Arabidopsis thaliana: one gene and its partners. The protein of the gene in region 1 interacts with the protein of each later gene in a pairwise test. Each region holds a gene or a part of one and is shown on either strand. Other genes may lie near its edges.

Region 1 (7,956 bases):
TCTGGTTAGTATCGGTAGAAATGCACCGAGGTGCTACAGAGATTAATGCTAGGGATAGTCAGACCGCTTGTATTTCTGACTATCAAGTAAATCTACGCCCAACTCACATATTTCCCAAACAAATGTGATTTTTTTTTTTTTTTTTTTTTTTTTTTTTTTTTTTGTAACAAATGTGATTTTGTTTTCAAGGAAAATAGAACTTACGTTTGGGAATTTCACCCTTCACTAAAGCTTCCTTCTGCCATTAGACCACAAAGGCTTGGGCAATTTACCATTTTTGTAAAAGTAGAAAACAAAATGCCTAAAATGTTCATACTTCATTACATCAACAAGGTTATGCCCACGATATAGAGGCATGTAACATTTATATATATAGTGGAAGAAGCCTACGAGCTTTATTAATAAGTATAAACTCTGATTATTAGGTAAATAAATTACTTAAAACGATTACTCAACTGACAAAACCGTAGTTGAATAATAAGGTTACTATGAATACCGATTGAATATTGCAAAGCCGGAATTGAAAAATATATAACAGATCAAATGTTCAAGTGTGGTCATAATTCTCACATAGGTCATATAGCTGAACCCATGCATCTATTTACTAGTCTATAGAAAGTACTAGAGACGCATACAGCTGAACCTACTCTATTCTTTTATTAATTTTGGTTCTCGTGGATACAAAATTCCTCCAACATTTATTAGAACGAATAAAACCAATATGATGATGATTAGTTATTGGTAAACATATAAACGTTGAGTAAACTTCAAAATAGATTGAAGTACTATTAAGACTTGCATTTTTTCCCCTTGGGTTATATTCTTGAATCGTTTCGAAGTATTTTAACTTTCAAGAATAGAAGGTTCCTCAACTATAAACAATTACATTAATCAAAACCATTTCTATGTAAACAACATAATTTTTGTATATTTTAGTCTTCCCCAAAAGTTTGACCGATAGGGCGGTTTAGACCGTATAGTACGACTGTACAACAAAAAGGACTCTGGAGACCTAAAGATCCAAAACTATGCAAAATAAAGATACGGTCGGACCAATTTAATCTAACAAAACCAAATCCTTATACTAAACTATTTACCGATACATTTCCATATAACACAGTACACACAATTAAATCAAACATTATTGGAAGAACAAGATAGAATATTGGCTTAATCTCGAACGATTAGAGTTATCCTAGAGCCTCGGAGCTTTTGTCACATATAATATAAACTATGGTATATATAAACATGACTCTCATTTGTATTTATCGCAAGGTACAATTCCACCAATTTTTTTCGTCCCACTCATACAGCTTTAATTGTGAAATCAATCCATAAAAAACCAACATGTGACATGGTCTCTATAACTATAACTATAAGATAGTAAAAAATTCACATCAACATAAAAGAAAACCAATCATATTGGCTAAAAAAAACTAACGGTCGAAAAACGTATAACCACAAAACCAAACCGGTCCAACCGGTGTCCCCAATCACTATCAAAGCATTAACTAACTTTCACAAGGAAAAGCATAGTTCAGTTTCTCTACATCGCTTCCCATCCTCTTAACCCTGTTTACTCGAATCATCCACCGTTGGATCAAACACGCGCTACAAATCTAGCGCGTGACCGAGGTTTTTACACAGTGGAATATTACCATGCATTGGAAAGCGGCGTCTACAACAAACGGCGGGTCATGTCACCGTCAAAATCAACCTTTCTTAATTCCTAACGCCGTTACTTATCTCCGTTTACTAAAAATGTTAATGCGTGTGAGAGTGAAGATCATATACTAATTAGAAGTGGCTAATGTTTTAACGTGACATTATTATCATAGTTAATGGTTCGATCAGAGTTTTAAGTAGTAAATGATATAAGTGTGTGTATATAATTGCATACATATATACTCTCACACTCTGACAGATTTGTCGTGGTCTTAGTATTCTCTTTCATGGCTAGTTATATAGGGCTCTAGTACATTATCTCTCTCTCCCCATTTCTCTGTCTCTCTCTTCTTTAACATCTCTGGCTCTGCATTTCTTGCAGTTCACGCTAATCACCTGTTTTGGTACCCTTTTCTCTCTGCAACAATGGCAGAACAAGCCTGAAGTTTCGTTCTTTTGTGTTTTGGTTTCCTCTGCTTTGTTGTTATTGAATCAAAACTTCAACGAGCTTCTTGGCTTATTACCCCAAAAGGAAAGAAGAATAAGAAGAAAAAAATGAAGGAGAAGATGCAGCGAATGGTTTTATCTTTAGCAATGGTGGGTTTTATGGTTTTTGGTGTTGCTTCGGCTATGAACAACGAAGGTTTGTTTCTTCTAACTCTTTTGTTTTTGTCTTTTTTCTTGTGATCTCTGTTTAAAATTTTGATTATGTGCTTCAAAAATTAGGGTTTAGTTAGGTATATCTCCTTAAACCCATTCTCTGATTTTTTCTGAAAGTTTGAATCTAAAATCGTCTGTGTTAGAAGTTATCATGACATATAATCTTTGGTTTATGTCAAACATTTGGTTTCCCCATAAAAAGAGAGTTAAAGTTGAAAGCTTTTTCATACCCAATACTTAGCTCTGGCTTGTTCTTCATCAAATGCATATAAAGATGCAATCTTTTCTCCATTTCCCAAGAAATTTGATCATGATTAGTACACAGAGAATGCCTGTTCCTGTACCATGGAAAGTTTGTGTTTTTTTCAAGCTGTTTCCCGAGAAAAAAACGAAGCTTAATCCCTAGTGTCCTGGAGAGAAAGGACATGAAATTTACAAAAATTCCTTAGTTTTGGTTTATGTATATTTAACTATGTGACTGATGTTCCGCGTTTCAAATGATTTATTACTAATCCTAGTTGAGTCTGTTTATGAATTTTGAAAACCCACAGGGAAAGCTCTGATGGCGATAAAAGGCTCTTTCAGCAACTTAGTGAATATGCTTTTGGATTGGGACGATGTTCACAACAGTGACTTGTGTTCTTGGCGAGGTGTTTTCTGCGACAACGTTAGCTACTCCGTTGTCTCTCTGTAAGAATCTTATTTGAGTTCAATAATAATTCTTGTGTTGTTGAAAAATGTCTCTCTTTTGTGGTCTTGTAATATTCTGCTTTTTTTCTATTTTTACTTTGTGAAGGAATTTGTCCAGTCTGAATCTTGGAGGGGAGATATCTCCAGCTATTGGAGACCTACGGAATTTGCAATCAATGTAATGGTTTTTTTTCCCTTTCTTTCTCTGTTGATTTGCATGTTTGAACTTTGAAATGTTGTAGCTTTTGTTCATAAAGGCTTTTTCCAATTGCAGAGACTTGCAAGGTAATAAACTAGCAGGTCAAATTCCAGATGAGATTGGAAACTGTGCTTCTCTTGTTTATCTGTAAGTCTTATTAAACTTGTTTTTTTGAGTTTTCAATTTTCATGTCTTTAGTTTTGACGTCCATATCCTCTGTTGTACAGGGATTTGTCCGAGAATCTGTTATATGGAGACATACCTTTCTCAATCTCTAAACTCAAGCAGCTTGAAACTCTGTATGTGTTATACTTCAACATTTTGTTTTTCCGATTCAAAGTTCAAATTTTGTCTACTTGTTCTTTTTTTTTTTCGAGTGGATTTTTGTGAACCTTTGAACTTGTGGATGTATCAGGAATCTGAAGAACAATCAGCTCACAGGTCCTGTACCAGCAACCTTAACCCAGATTCCAAACCTTAAGAGACTGTGAGTTCTTTAGTTACATCATTTACTCATGAATCAAAATTTGGGAATAGATTTTGAACTTACTCATTTTCTTTTTTCCAATCATGATGTTGCAGTGATCTTGCTGGCAATCATCTAACGGGTGAGATATCGAGATTGCTTTACTGGAATGAAGTTTTGCAGTATCTGTAAGTTCGTCAGAGTCATTTTCTCTGATCTCAATATAGTCTACACCATAGAAGAAGTTAATTTTCTCCTTCTAATACTTTCTTTCTGCAGTGGATTACGAGGGAATATGTTGACTGGAACGTTATCTTCTGATATGTGTCAGCTAACCGGTTTGTGGTACTTGTAAGTGGATCCAACGCTCTGCCATCTTTTGAGTCTTGTATAGATCCTGGTCCTTCTTTGATTCATTCAAGTCTTGAGTTATATTTTTTAACTTGTGTTTTGTTGTTGGAAGTGATGTGAGAGGAAATAATCTAACTGGAACCATCCCGGAGAGCATCGGAAATTGCACAAGCTTTCAAATCCTGTATGTGCCATCTTAAATTAAACATTAGACTTCCACTATAGGAGTGAATTTTGGACTCATACCTTTTGATATTACAGGGACATATCTTATAATCAGATAACAGGAGAGATTCCTTACAATATCGGCTTCCTCCAAGTTGCTACTCTGTGAGTATTGAGCCTCTTTTACCTTAGTTTCATCAGTAAATTGTTAACATGCGGTTATTGAATTGTGTATTATTACTTTTTGAAGGTCACTTCAAGGAAACAGATTGACGGGTAGAATTCCAGAAGTTATTGGTCTAATGCAGGCTCTTGCTGTTTTGTAAGTTCAATTCATATGGAAAAGTAACGACAAAGTACATTCTTGAATTTGGCTCGTCTGACTTTGTGAATCCTATTCAATTCACAGGGATTTGAGTGACAATGAGCTTGTTGGTCCTATCCCACCGATACTTGGCAATCTCTCATTTACCGGAAAGTTGTGAGTCTTTTTTGTATAACTGTAGTATCTCATATGTTCAGCTAATCAGCTCTTGGCATATGCATTGATACCTTTTTTTTTTGTTGAAATAGGTATCTCCATGGCAATATGCTCACTGGTCCAATCCCCTCTGAGCTTGGGAATATGTCACGTCTCAGCTATTTGTAAGCTTGTTTTAAACTTCAAATCTGTTTACATAGCTTTCGCATTCCATATACTTATCTATTTTGCTTTTCTTTTACCGATTTTGAAGGCAGCTAAACGACAATAAACTAGTGGGAACTATTCCACCTGAGCTTGGAAAGCTGGAGCAATTGTTTGAACTGTGAGTTTCTTTTCCTTGCTCTAAAGTTTTTCACTTTAGCTGTTGAAGCATTACATTTGATCCTTGTTTTTACTGATCCATTTTTTGACATGAAAGGAATCTTGCCAACAACCGTTTAGTAGGGCCCATACCATCCAACATTAGTTCATGTGCAGCCTTGAATCAATTGTAAGCTATAAGATAGTTCATTTTGAATTCATGCTTTACTCTTCTTATTCACAAACCTAAATTCTGCTGCTCTACTTGAATTCAGCAATGTTCATGGGAACCTCTTGAGTGGATCTATTCCACTGGCGTTTCGCAATCTCGGGAGCTTGACTTATCTGTGAGTTTCATTCAATACAATGCTGTAACATTGCTTCCCTCTAAACATTATAGTGACTGTTGAATCCTTTTGGATGCAGGAATCTTTCGTCGAACAATTTCAAGGGAAAAATACCAGTTGAGCTTGGACATATAATCAATCTTGACAAACTGTATGTCTTCTCAACTTTGTTACATCGTTTGGTTTTATGTTTCAGTTTGAATTTGCTGCAAACTCATCATATGTTTTTGTTTCCAGAGATCTGTCTGGCAATAACTTCTCAGGGTCTATACCATTAACGCTTGGCGATCTTGAACACCTTCTCATATTGTAAGTCTTTTACACTTAAAGTTGTAAATTTGTAAATGTTTTTCTTGTGTTTGTTAACTTTTAATCTTTTGCTTCATTAAACAGAAATCTTAGCAGAAACCATCTTAGTGGACAATTACCTGCAGAGTTTGGGAACCTTCGAAGCATTCAGATGATGTAAAGCTTATAGTTGCTTCTTTTGGTTATATCAAAATCATATTTTTTTTCTGACTTATCTGTTTTACTTGTAGTGATGTATCATTCAATCTGCTCTCCGGAGTTATTCCAACTGAACTTGGCCAATTGCAGAATTTAAACTCTTTGTAAGTTAATAATATGATCTTATCATTTGTATTATATACAAAATAGATGTATGGTTTGATCTTTATGTTTATGTACAGAATATTGAACAACAACAAGCTTCATGGGAAAATTCCAGATCAGCTTACGAACTGCTTCACTCTTGTCAATCTGTAAGTTCTTCTGCAAGAGATACTTGCTTATGAGCAATATTAGCCCTTTGGAAGATTTGTGAATCCAACATTTTCTTCTTCTTTCTTCGAAAACGTTTTAGGAATGTCTCCTTCAACAATCTCTCCGGGATAGTCCCACCAATGAAAAACTTCTCACGTTTTGCTCCAGCCAGGTATGAAGCTTCTCTCAGTAGTCTGTCATTATGATCAATACGCATAAGCTTTCATTGTAAAACTAAATTCATAACCTCTGTATAGCTTTGTTGGAAATCCATATCTTTGTGGAAACTGGGTTGGATCTATTTGTGGTCCTTTACCGAAATCTCGAGGTATCTACTAGATTTATCCATTAAGCATTTTCTTCAATAGATGTTTTTTCTTGTTTATTTGAGCTTGCTTTTCTTGTTCTTTTCAGTATTCTCCAGAGGTGCTTTGATCTGCATTGTTCTTGGCGTCATCACTCTCCTATGTATGATTTTCCTTGCAGTTTACAAATCAATGCAGCAGAAGAAGATTCTACAAGGCTCCTCAAAACAAGCTGAAGGTAATGATGATGCCTTCATACTTCTTCATAACTCATATTCTGTTCTTATATGACAATATCAATCTTTACCGATTCTCAGGGTTAACCAAGCTAGTGATTCTCCACATGGACATGGCAATTCATACATTTGATGATATCATGAGAGTGACTGAGAATCTTAACGAAAAGTTTATAATTGGATATGGTGCTTCTAGCACGGTATACAAATGTGCATTAAAAAGTTCCCGACCTATTGCCATTAAGCGACTCTACAATCAGTATCCGCATAACTTGCGGGAATTTGAGACAGAACTTGAGACCATTGGGAGCATTAGGCACAGAAACATAGTCAGCTTGCATGGATATGCCTTGTCTCCTACTGGCAACCTTCTTTTCTATGACTACATGGAAAATGGATCACTTTGGGACCTTCTTCATGGTAAGTTCTTCTAACTTTTTTTGGTTCAATTTGTGAAAGATTGATTTGCAGATAAACGGTAAAAATGTTTTGATTTTTATTTTCTTGAAAAGGGTCATTGAAGAAAGTGAAGCTTGATTGGGAGACAAGGTTGAAGATAGCGGTTGGAGCTGCACAAGGACTAGCCTATCTTCACCACGATTGTACTCCTCGAATCATTCACCGTGACATCAAGTCATCGAACATACTTCTTGATGAGAATTTCGAAGCACATTTATCTGATTTCGGGATTGCTAAGAGCATACCAGCTAGCAAAACCCATGCCTCGACTTATGTTTTGGGAACAATTGGTTATATAGACCCAGAGTATGCTCGTACTTCACGAATCAATGAGAAATCCGATATATACAGCTTCGGTATTGTTCTTCTTGAGCTTCTCACTGGGAAGAAAGCAGTGGATAACGAAGCTAACTTGCATCAACTGGTATATGAATCAAGAATCACTATAGATTATGATCTTTGAACCTTAAAAGAGTTAACGTTTTTTTTTTTTATGTTGCAGATATTGTCAAAGGCTGATGATAATACTGTGATGGAAGCAGTTGATCCAGAGGTTACTGTGACTTGTATGGACTTGGGACATATCAGGAAGACATTTCAGCTGGCTCTCTTATGCACAAAGCGAAACCCTTTAGAGAGACCCACAATGCTTGAAGTCTCTAGGGTTCTGCTCTCTCTTGTCCCATCTCTGCAAGTAGCAAAGAAGCTACCTTCTCTTGATCACTCAACCAAAAAGCTGCAGCAAGAGAATGAAGTTAGGAATCCTGATGCAGAAGCATCTCAATGGTTTGTTCAGTTCCGTGAAGTCATCTCCAAAAGTAGCATATAAGAGAAAGATTCCAGGGCTTTTGTTTAGTTTCTTGTGTC
Region 2 (5,914 bases), on another chromosome or scaffold:
GAAATCGAAACTAAGCATCAATTTTTTTTTATTGAAACTTGTGTAAAATTGCATTCACAAGAAATTAGAGTTTCTGGCCTTCCTAGAGTTTCTTGAATTGCGTTAACAAAAAATTAGAGGTTCCGGCATTGCTTCCACACTAGGTTAAGGTTCAACAAAATTCGCAACCAAAGAATAGCTATGAAACAAATAAGCAAGATTTCACAAACATAAAGAGCTTACAAAATTTCAAAACTAATGGGCTTTACTAGCAAATATAATGGGCTTTTTAATAAACCTTTTTTTAATAAGCCTATTAATAAAGATGGGCAAAATGTGTTTCTTTTTGTATCAAAATGTTGTCTAATTTTACTGATAAATAAGAATAAGAAATAGGGTAAATATTTGGAAACTATTTAGAAATACATTTTAATCTAATGGTAATGATTAATTCAAGATGTATATAATTTCTAGTATCTTTTCCCTAATAATTGATATTTTTCATTCATTAACACTAGGACCTTTTAGGTTTAACATCTTAAAACTCTATCTTAAGATGTTTAGATAAGTATTTGGGTTGTAATGATTTTCTAGGAAACACTAAAATAGTATGAACATAATCTAGTTAATCACTAGACTAAAAATCAAATCTGAATCTATGTACAAAATCTAAACTATACACATAAAAGTAGATATTAACATATATATTAATGAATAATATATAATTATATATAGATACACTTAGCACAAATATACACATATATTTATTTTGGATTGTTATCATGTGCTCTGTAAGAAATCATGCTACAATATACAGATGATATAACAGGATAAGAGCTATATTAATAGAGAACTTTGCATAAAAGTCGTTATCCAAAAAAAGAAAATAAACTTTGCATGAAAGCTAAACCAAATGCAAATAAGAAAATAATTGTATCTTAAAAGGATTGTTCTTAAACGATATAAAGGTACATAATTCCCTCCCACGTTAACCATTCATTGTGCATTGTGGAATTCCATTTGTATAATTAGTTTTGAATTAGATCATTCATTTCCTTTGAGTTTGATGAATAAAAAGTAAGAAAAAAACACTAAGCTTGGGAGGGTGGCTTAATTAAGCGTGTACACATAAACTATACTTTGTTAAAAAAAAATTGGGAGGTTGATTATGACTTATGAGCGAATAAAGCACTTTTGCGATAGTTATTGAACTTGCTAATCAAGTTGTTAAACGTGTGTATATATATAGGATGTGCATCATCACAATTCTCTCTAGCTAGCTCTTATTCGTATTATATAAAAAACTCAATAACTCTTTTTTGTTTTTGGTTCTTAAGATGCAATCTATTTATACAGAGATAAACACCAAAGCCAAGAAAGCAAGGACGAATGTAGACTATTTCTATACAGCTTACATGAAAGCCACTAACACAGATTTGGGAGACGAAGCGTTTAAAGCCGTGACAAACCCGATCCTTTCACAAATGGAGGAAATCATCAACACAGCTAAACATGTTGCATATCGCGTGGGAGTTATACGAAGTACAAATTCAGATCCTAATTTTCTTCGAGATCTTGACGAGGTAGACAAGATGGGGGATGATGTCTTTGAGAAATCAAAAACTGCCCTAGACATAATGCGAAAAGCGGTTGTTGATGCAAAGGAAAGGAAGAAAGCTAGAGATGAAGCAATAAAGGAAGAAGAAGAAGCAAGGAAAGAGGAAGTAAAGAAGAAAGCAAAGAACGAAGCAGGAGAGAGCAGTTCACACAACGTACCAACGTAATTAAGTAAACATAAAAAGTTAATAAGCACATAAGTATTTAACGAAGCATAATATATGTATTTAGTGTTCTCTTCAAAATTACAACAAGATAAAAAAGTAAATATATGATTATTCTTCATATGATATTTTACATTGGAAAAATGTTTATCACACAAACACGAAACCGAAATGCATCAAACAAAAACCGAACCGAACCGATATAGAGTTACATTAATCAAACCGAATTATAAATGGATCATAAACCGAAAAAATCAAACCGGAACCAAACCTTAACAAGATCATATCAAATACGTCGTCGTTTCATCTGAGTCGTCTCTCTTCACTCGCCGGAGAGAGAGAAGAAGAAAAGACGACGGAGAAATGGCGGAGGAGCAGAAAATGAAGCAGCTAAGCCGATTCTGGATTTGGGCTTTATCTTCCATTGCTTTCCGATTGATCTTGATCTCCTTCCCGGGAAATCTCAATCTCTCTTCCCGTCCGGAGGTCTCTACCCCTCTCACCAGCATTCGCCGCCGTATCTCCTCTCTCTTTCTCACTCCCTCATTAGCTCTCTAAGATCTCGAATTCAGCTCACATTTCTTCGTTTTGTATGAACATTTTCAGTTGCTGAAGGTTATTGGTTGAAGCAGGCATCGATGTCACCATATGCAGGTCTATCTTAAGATTTGATCCTCTGTAAATTTGGATTCTTAGGCTATTAGAAGCTGAAGTTGTACATATTTGAGCAGGATCTATGTATCATGGCTCACCATTGCTGCTCTCGGTTCTTGGACCTCTCACAGTTCAAAGGTAGTGACTAATCGATTTTGATATTAGGATTTGTGATTTATTGAGCTTGAATCATATGAAAACATGATTTTTTCCCACTTGAGTTTTATTGGAAGACAATTTGTGTGTTTGCAGGATTAAAGGGCAACCAAGTCACCTCTTGTGCAGGTACTTTTCAGTGTCCCTTCATTTCTGTGATCACATGTTTTTTCTTTCTTCTCAGATTTGAGCTAGCTTAAAATCTTAGGTAGGATTAGATTGTGAGATGTGAATTTGGAAAAGAGATGATCTTTGAATGATTTACTATTCATCAAGAGCTTTATAGTCATGTCGTTGCTACCAACATTCTCTTGGATACAGCTTGGTTTTTGTTATTGCAGATATATTAAGTGCAATGCTTCTTCGAGCTATTGGTCAGAAACTCCAGATGGCTTATGGACTGAATGCGAGACTACTTGGTTTTCTTAAGTCATCAAGGGATAAAGGTAGATTGAAGTCAGTTGTTGAATTTTGTGTATCATCTATCTTATTTCTACTCTTTTCTTGTAACTATTTACTTGAAGGCAAATATTGATCTCTCCTTTTTCGTTGTCTCCTCAGTGATCCTACCTTGTGGTGATATTGCTGCTCTTGTGTATTTGTGGAATCCTTTCACGATAGTTTCTTGTGTGGGCTTATCAACTTCTCCCATCGAAAACCTGGCTGTCATATTGGCGCTTTTTGGAGCAGTTACACGTAAGAAGATGATGATACTTGCATATTGTTTGTTCAATAGTTTCTTGAAATTTTATAACTGATGTTTTCTACCCATGCAGGACGAGTTCCTCTGGCAGCATTTGGCTTAGTCATTGCCACACATTTATCTCTTTATCCTGCTACTCTGACAATTCCAGTATGTATCATTTCTTATTTTATGTTTTTCACGTTTCTCAAATTAAACAAATTCTAACTGCTCGTGCATTTCCCACAGATAATCTTTCTATTGGGATATGGTTTGGATGCTCCTCCTATAAAATTGTTCCTTCAGACCAGAAGTGTAGAAAATGAGGAGAGTTCAACCTCTACTGTTTCTAAACAAGCCAAGTTGAAACAGACTACGCACCTTCCTTTCTTATGGAAAACAGTCGCACACTTCTTGTTCTGGGTACTTCTGTGGTCACTCTATGTGTTGATTTTATGTGCCTTATCACTGAATAAATATGGTGGGCTTGAGGAGATGTTCAAGAGGTAGCCTCTAACTTAGAAATCTTATTCATAACCGCTATAGGATTAGTTTCCGTTAGCCATATTATATCTATAACTTATATTCCAAATCATATAATTATTTATTAAGAACTTGCAACGTAGTGTTTAGGCGATTTGATGTTTGTTTGTCTTTGCCTCCTATTGTAGGACGTATGGTTTCATTCTTAGTATTGAAGATCTTTCACCAAACATTGGAGTCTTTTGGTAAGTAAAATAAATTAATATGGTGATATCATTGGGTGATGAATAAGGGATCCCTTCTTTTATGAAAAGACTATTTACTGTTCGTTTTAAATCTCGTTTTCAGGTACTTCTTTGCAGAAGTATTCGACTTCTTCAGAAACTTTTTTCTGATAGTTTTACACGTAAATATTCTGTTCATGTTACTGCCCTTAGCCATAAGGTTGAAACATCGGCCATGTTTCCTGGCTTTCATATACTTAGCGATCTCCTCGATTCTTAAATCTTATCCTTCAGTAAGTAGTTGAATTCACTGTGAACTTGAAGTTATCTTTTCTTCTTTGAGGAATTATATTCATAAATGTTAACAATGCTTTCATCATTTGATTTACTCTCAATAGGTCGGAGATTCGGCGTTATACTTGAGCTTATGGGCATTGTTTGTCAATGAGTTATTAGGTAAAAGCAAATACTTCACATCCTCTTAGCATTGTTTAGCCTTTGCATATAAACTCTGCTTCTGTTTCACATAGATATGAAGTTCTCGTTCTTCCTCTTCTGTGGATATCTCGGGATCTCTCTCCTCAGCCCTGTGATGCACAATCTCTGGATATGGCGGGTAAGCTTCTACTCAAATCCATAACCCAACTCTTCACAGCAGTTGCAACAAAATGTTCTAATGATCACAACTACCTTTGATTTTTTCATGACAGGGAACCGGAAATGCAAATTTCTACTTTGGAAACGCTATCGGCTACGCGTGCTTTCAGGTAAAATATAGGCCTGGATCCATTTCAAAATTCATTATTCTATTCAGTAGTTGGGAGTTGATACTCATATAGTACAAAATTTGATGATATCAAGCAGAGGATGATGAGATCATCAGTTATTGATCAAAGAATGTTGTAGTTTTGGGTTATCTTGACTAAAACCCGCATACGGGTTTCTGCTTTTCTTTACAGATCGTTTTCGTGGTTGAGAGCGTAAGCGCAATGCTAAACCATGACAGGGCGCTGAAGAGATCAAACTCAAACCATCGAGAAGTCAAGAGCTAAGCCATTGAAGGTCATTGCGCCACTTTTCTGTTACACGTAAAGAAAAGAGTTGGGTCTTTAGCTTAAAGTTGGCAACATGTGATTTGTGTGAGTAGCTTTTCTTTGTTTGAGAACATCATATAAATAACAAATCTCCTGTGCCTTTCCGTTTAGAGTAACCATTAATTTGTACTTTTTACCGAGAGGTTTTAAAGTTCTTGTTTTGATCCGCAAAGCACACAATCATCCCTATATTTGAAGTTACATCGCATGTATACAAGGTATTATCATTTGTGAATGGTGGATGATTAAAGGCATTGTCTATGTCCCGTACTTTATCCTTATCCACTGCACCATTAAGGCCTAAATGACACAGTGCAGGAAGGTTATTGGGTGGTGTTTGGTCATTGTTTTCTTAAAAGTCACCCATTCACAATAAATGAAGTGTGATGCATTATTAATTTATTTGTAATATCATAAAAACTTGTAAAACCCACGTGGTACCAAAAACAAAAATCAGACCCTAACCGTATAACTGTATTTCACACTGTTGAAAATATATGTTCAATTCGATCTTGTGACATCTGAAATCTCCTAAAAATTATGCATATATTGCATGAAGCTGATGTATGCATGATTGCATATCTTGGTATTATATATTGTATTGATGGCGTGTGGTGATGGAATTTCATGGCGTTTGGTGATGGAATGCGGTTGTGTATCGGAGCTGACTTCAGCAAAGTTCAAACTTCAAACTGCAGTTTTCCTTCATAGCTCAGTCACAAAATACAGTTTGAAACTACTCCTTTTTCATCTGTTAAGTTAAGACAACTAATGGTTCTTGATTTTGTAATTTTGTTTCTTGGATTTCATCAGATGGGAAGAAACTAGTGGAGGAAATATACTTCGAACTCCTGGATTGCA
Region 3 (3,640 bases), on another chromosome or scaffold:
CCTGGATTATCAGTGTATTCTGCCAAATAAAAAAGTGCATCTTGTATCTGTATCTTTGAAGCTTAATATCTTATTGGTTTAAGACTATCAATGCGGCTTTCCCAACGCGTTTGAGACAACGGTTTAAGTGTAATACCATTCACTGTTTCTCTAAACACTTCCCAATTGTTGGTTGAAGCTTCAAACAGACAATGTATTCGCTGAACAATTCCAAAAAAAGAAACAGCTTTCTTGGATGATGAAGCCATATCACAAAGTGCAAGGTTAAGACCATGGCATCCACATGGAGTGTAAAATGCTCTTGGATTTATATCAAGCAACCTTTTCTGAACTCCTTTATGTTTTCTCTTCATATTTTGTCAGTTGTCGTATGCTTGTCATCTTACATCATCAATATTCAACTTAAGATCAATCAATGCATCTTGAAGAGTCTTAAAAAGCCCCTCACCCCTCTTATCTTTGATGTGTAGAAACGTCAAGAAGAACTCCTCAATCTTAGGTGAACACGTTGAAACATCCACACATCGAATTAAGAAGGTCATTTGTTCTTTACGACTAACATCCGGAATGGAATCAAGAATGACTGAAAAATACTTCGCATCTTTAATCTTCTTTAAGATCATCATCTTGGTATCATTAGCAAGTAATTCTGTCAATTCATTCTGACTCTTATGACTGGGAAAATGGCAATGAATTTCACCTTTATTAGCCCGCCGAATGTGTTCCTTCATATCCGAATTAAAACCTCCAATCATTCTAATAAATGCCAAAATATTTCCACTATTTGGATCATCAACATTCTCTTTAGTTCCACAAAATGCTAAATTTTGTTTAGCTAGAGTCTTTACCACTGCAATTATTCTCACCAATACATCTCTCCAATGTTTTTTCTCCTTCTTAATTGCCTATTCCATATGGTTATCAATTGTTTTACTCTTTTGTAATCTCACTTCTAGCTCCATCCAATGAGTCATGGAAATAATATGACGATGAGTTGTTTCATGTCTTTTCAGCCTTTGCGCAGCATTTTTCCAGTCATTATACCCACTACTTGCTAACAATGTAGGATTTGTTTCTTGATCGAATAATTAGAGAGAAATTCGATCCGCTGATTTTTGAGGAATATTTGAATTTTGATTCTAAAAATAAGTGAATTCGAGTTTTGGTGACAAAGCAGCGCATTTGTTAGCTGATTGTATTTTGATTATTGATGCTATATAGACATAGATTTGTGCGAAAATTGAGGAACAAGAGAGAAATTTGATCCGCTAATTTTTGAGGAAGATTTGAATTTCGATTCTAAAAATAGATGGATTAGATCTGCAGCGTTTGTTAGTTGAATGTGTTTCGATTATTGATGCTAAATATACATAGATTTGTGCCAAAATGAGGAATTAGAGAGAAATTCGATCCGCTAATTTTTGAGGAATATTTGAATTTTGTTTTTAAAAATAGATGGATTCGAGTTTTGGTAACAATCGGCGGTGTTTGTTAGTTGATTGTGTTTTAATTATTGATGCTAAATAGACATAGATTTGTGTAAAAATTGAGGAACTGAGAGAAATTTGATTTGCTAATTTTTGAGGAATATTTGAATTTTAATTCCAAAAATAGATGGATTCGAGTTTTGATAACAATTCGCAGCGTTTGTTAGTTGACCATGTTTCGATTAATTATACTAAATCGACATAGATTTGTGGAAAATTGAGGAAATAGAGAGAAATTCGATCCGCTAATCTTATATGAATATTTGAATTTCGTTCCAAAAATAGATTATTTAGAGTTTTGGTAACAATCAACGGCGTTTGTTAGGTGATTGTGTTTTTATTATTGATGTTATATAAACATAGATATTTTGATCGGAGTTTTGATCGGCGACGATGGAGAGAAACGTCGAGAAGATGCTGAAGAGAGTATCAATAGTGTTCTTAAGCATCGGAACAGTATTAATGGTAATTATGATTCTCCAGACACCAAAAACTTGTATTTCTCCAGAAGCTCCATCGAAACCTCATACGCATTTCCCGAGATCTACATGCGATTCATCGCCTCGTCAGCATCTTCCTCTCCCAAAGAAGAACGCTCGAATCTGGTCCTCTGGAGCTTGGAAATCTCGTCTATACTCCTTCTCTACCTACTTCCTCCGATTTCGCGATCTCGGATTCATTCAAAATCACACCAAAGCTCTCTGTCTCTCCGCCGGAGCAGGCCATGCTCTGATGGCTCTTTCTCAGATCGGATTATCTGATGTTACCGCAGTTGAATTGGTTGATTCGATTCCTCTTGTGAAAAGAGCTGATCCTCATAACCTTCCGTTTTTCGACGGTGTCTTTGATTTTGCCTTCACTGCACATCTAGCTGAAGCTCTGTTTCCGTGGCAGTTTGTGGAGGAGATGGAGAGGACGGTGAGACGTGGCGGATTTTGTGTGGTTTCGGTTGATGAATGTGGTGGAGATGATGTAAGAGACATTGCTAGGCTTTTTCATAACTCCAAGGTCGTTGATGTTGCTAATGTAACCTTAGAAGGATCCAAAAAGACTAGTATACTATTCAAAGTTCAAGACTCTCCTACCTGAGGTGTTTTATTTCTCTTTTGATTTATAGGCCCTTTCCGGATTCTCAGAAAACTGCTTCAATATTCATAGAGTGGAGCTAGATTTGTTTCTGTTGAAATTCACTTACATGTTTGAAAAGCAGGAGATTTAACAGATTATGTGGTAACATTGTTCAAAGACCATGACCATATTTGTTCTGGATCCTAAAGCAATGTTTTGTTGAGGGAAGCTGCGATGTTTGTTGCGAGTTCAAGATCCAGAACAAAAGCTTTCTACAGGTTAATATCTTTTTTTTTGGAAGTTGGTCTCTGAGCTAAACAATTCTTAGGAACCTTGGTCGCTTTTGAAACAAGTAAAGAACTTTCAACAGCTTTTGAAGACTTTAGTGTGTGATGAAAGAAAGTACTTTCTTTCCAGGTGAGGTTCACGTTTCAATCTGTTAGAGCTCTCCTGTGTACTATTTGTGAGTTAAGTAAAATACTCTTTAGTCATTTTGTATACTTAGAAAGAACAAAATTCTTATTGGTGAATAAAAGGCTCTTACTAAAAAAAAAAAAAAAAAAAAAAAAAAATTTTCTCTCAAGCAAGATAACCAAGGTAGCCGCAAGCCTTGTTCGTGATTAGTTCTCTTCACCGGCGTTGCTCCTCTGACTGCCTGCGTTCCTGATTGTAGCTACTACTAAAGTGAGATCTCTCCAATGAATCTACTTTTCCGGTGGCGTAATTGTTTTCCGGCGAGTCTTTCACTTGAAATGACTTTCCTTTTTCTCTCGAATGCGAGCCACTCTCGTCGCTTACCGTCGTCTTCGGTCGCCTTCCTCCTTCTGAGGCCACCTTGTGCACCACCACCAGAGCCTCCATCTCCGCCGACTCCACCGGAACCACCGGATCCACCAGATTCTCAGATCTGCTTCACTTTTGCTGATTCTTATGCTCAGTCGTTGAGCTCCTCTTCCCTCCCAGATTTGGTCTCGCTCATTCTCCATATCTCCTCCGCCATATCTGAATCTCCGTCACCGACCTCTTCGATCACTGATTTTTTCATTGATGTTTTCCTTCTCGCCGACGACACCACTTTTCTTCCT

Evidence for each region. The genes of interacting proteins can lie anywhere in the genome.
Region 2: the proteins of ERL1 (region 1) and AT1G63110 interact in a protein complementation assay, tested with the Arabidopsis thaliana proteins (one large-scale study listed by BioGRID).
Region 3: the proteins of ERL1 (region 1) and AT2G16030 interact in a protein complementation assay, tested with the Arabidopsis thaliana proteins (one large-scale study listed by BioGRID).

The regions. Positions count from the first base shown.
Region 1 is NC_003076.8:24,994,213-25,002,168, forward strand, and holds the start of ERL1 (ERECTA-like 1), read left to right. Parts: upstream 1-1,923; 5' UTR 1,924-2,220; coding exon 2,221-2,308; intron 2,309-2,876; coding exon 2,877-3,015; intron 3,016-3,121; coding exon 3,122-3,193; intron 3,194-3,289; coding exon 3,290-3,361; intron 3,362-3,441; coding exon 3,442-3,513; intron 3,514-3,629; coding exon 3,630-3,701; intron 3,702-3,796; coding exon 3,797-3,868; intron 3,869-3,959; coding exon 3,960-4,031; intron 4,032-4,143; coding exon 4,144-4,215; intron 4,216-4,292; coding exon 4,293-4,361; intron 4,362-4,446; coding exon 4,447-4,518; intron 4,519-4,605; coding exon 4,606-4,677; intron 4,678-4,769; coding exon 4,770-4,841; intron 4,842-4,930; coding exon 4,931-5,002; intron 5,003-5,098; coding exon 5,099-5,170; intron 5,171-5,255; coding exon 5,256-5,327; intron 5,328-5,406; coding exon 5,407-5,478; intron 5,479-5,564; coding exon 5,565-5,636; intron 5,637-5,720; coding exon 5,721-5,792; intron 5,793-5,866; and 16 more. UniProt on the Arabidopsis thaliana protein: Receptor kinase that regulates inflorescence architecture and organ shape as well as stomatal patterning, including density and clustering, together with ER and ERL2. Redundantly involved with ER in procambial development regulation.
Region 2 is NC_003070.9:23,402,747-23,408,660, forward strand, and holds AT1G63110 (GPI transamidase subunit PIG-U), read left to right. Parts: upstream 1-1,941; 5' UTR 1,942-2,123; coding exon 2,124-2,277; exon of another isoform or gene 2,278-2,366; coding exon 2,367-2,414; intron 2,415-2,491; coding exon 2,492-2,552; intron 2,553-2,666; coding exon 2,667-2,699; intron 2,700-2,891; coding exon 2,892-3,016; intron 3,017-3,131; coding exon 3,132-3,266; intron 3,267-3,346; coding exon 3,347-3,423; intron 3,424-3,501; coding exon 3,502-3,758; intron 3,759-3,923; coding exon 3,924-3,980; intron 3,981-4,083; coding exon 4,084-4,252; intron 4,253-4,357; coding exon 4,358-4,415; intron 4,416-4,489; coding exon 4,490-4,575; intron 4,576-4,669; coding exon 4,670-4,726; intron 4,727-4,918; coding exon 4,919-5,011; 3' UTR 5,012-5,373; downstream 5,374-5,914. Other genes in the region: AT1G63105 (uncharacterized protein), read left to right, coding at 1,395-1,763.
Region 3 is NC_003071.7:6,973,132-6,976,771, reverse strand, and holds AT2G16030 (S-adenosyl-L-methionine-dependent methyltransferases superfamily protein), read left to right. Parts: upstream 1-1,764; 5' UTR 1,765-1,880; coding exon 1,881-2,576; 3' UTR 2,577-3,099; downstream 3,100-3,640. Other genes in the region: AT2G16040 (hAT dimerization domain-containing protein / transposase-like protein), read right to left, coding at 1-19, 449-755; AT2G16020 (uncharacterized protein), read right to left, coding at 3,186-3,416; AT2G16019 (uncharacterized protein), read right to left, coding at 3,490-3,600; AT2G16018 (uncharacterized protein), read left to right, coding at 3,254-3,640.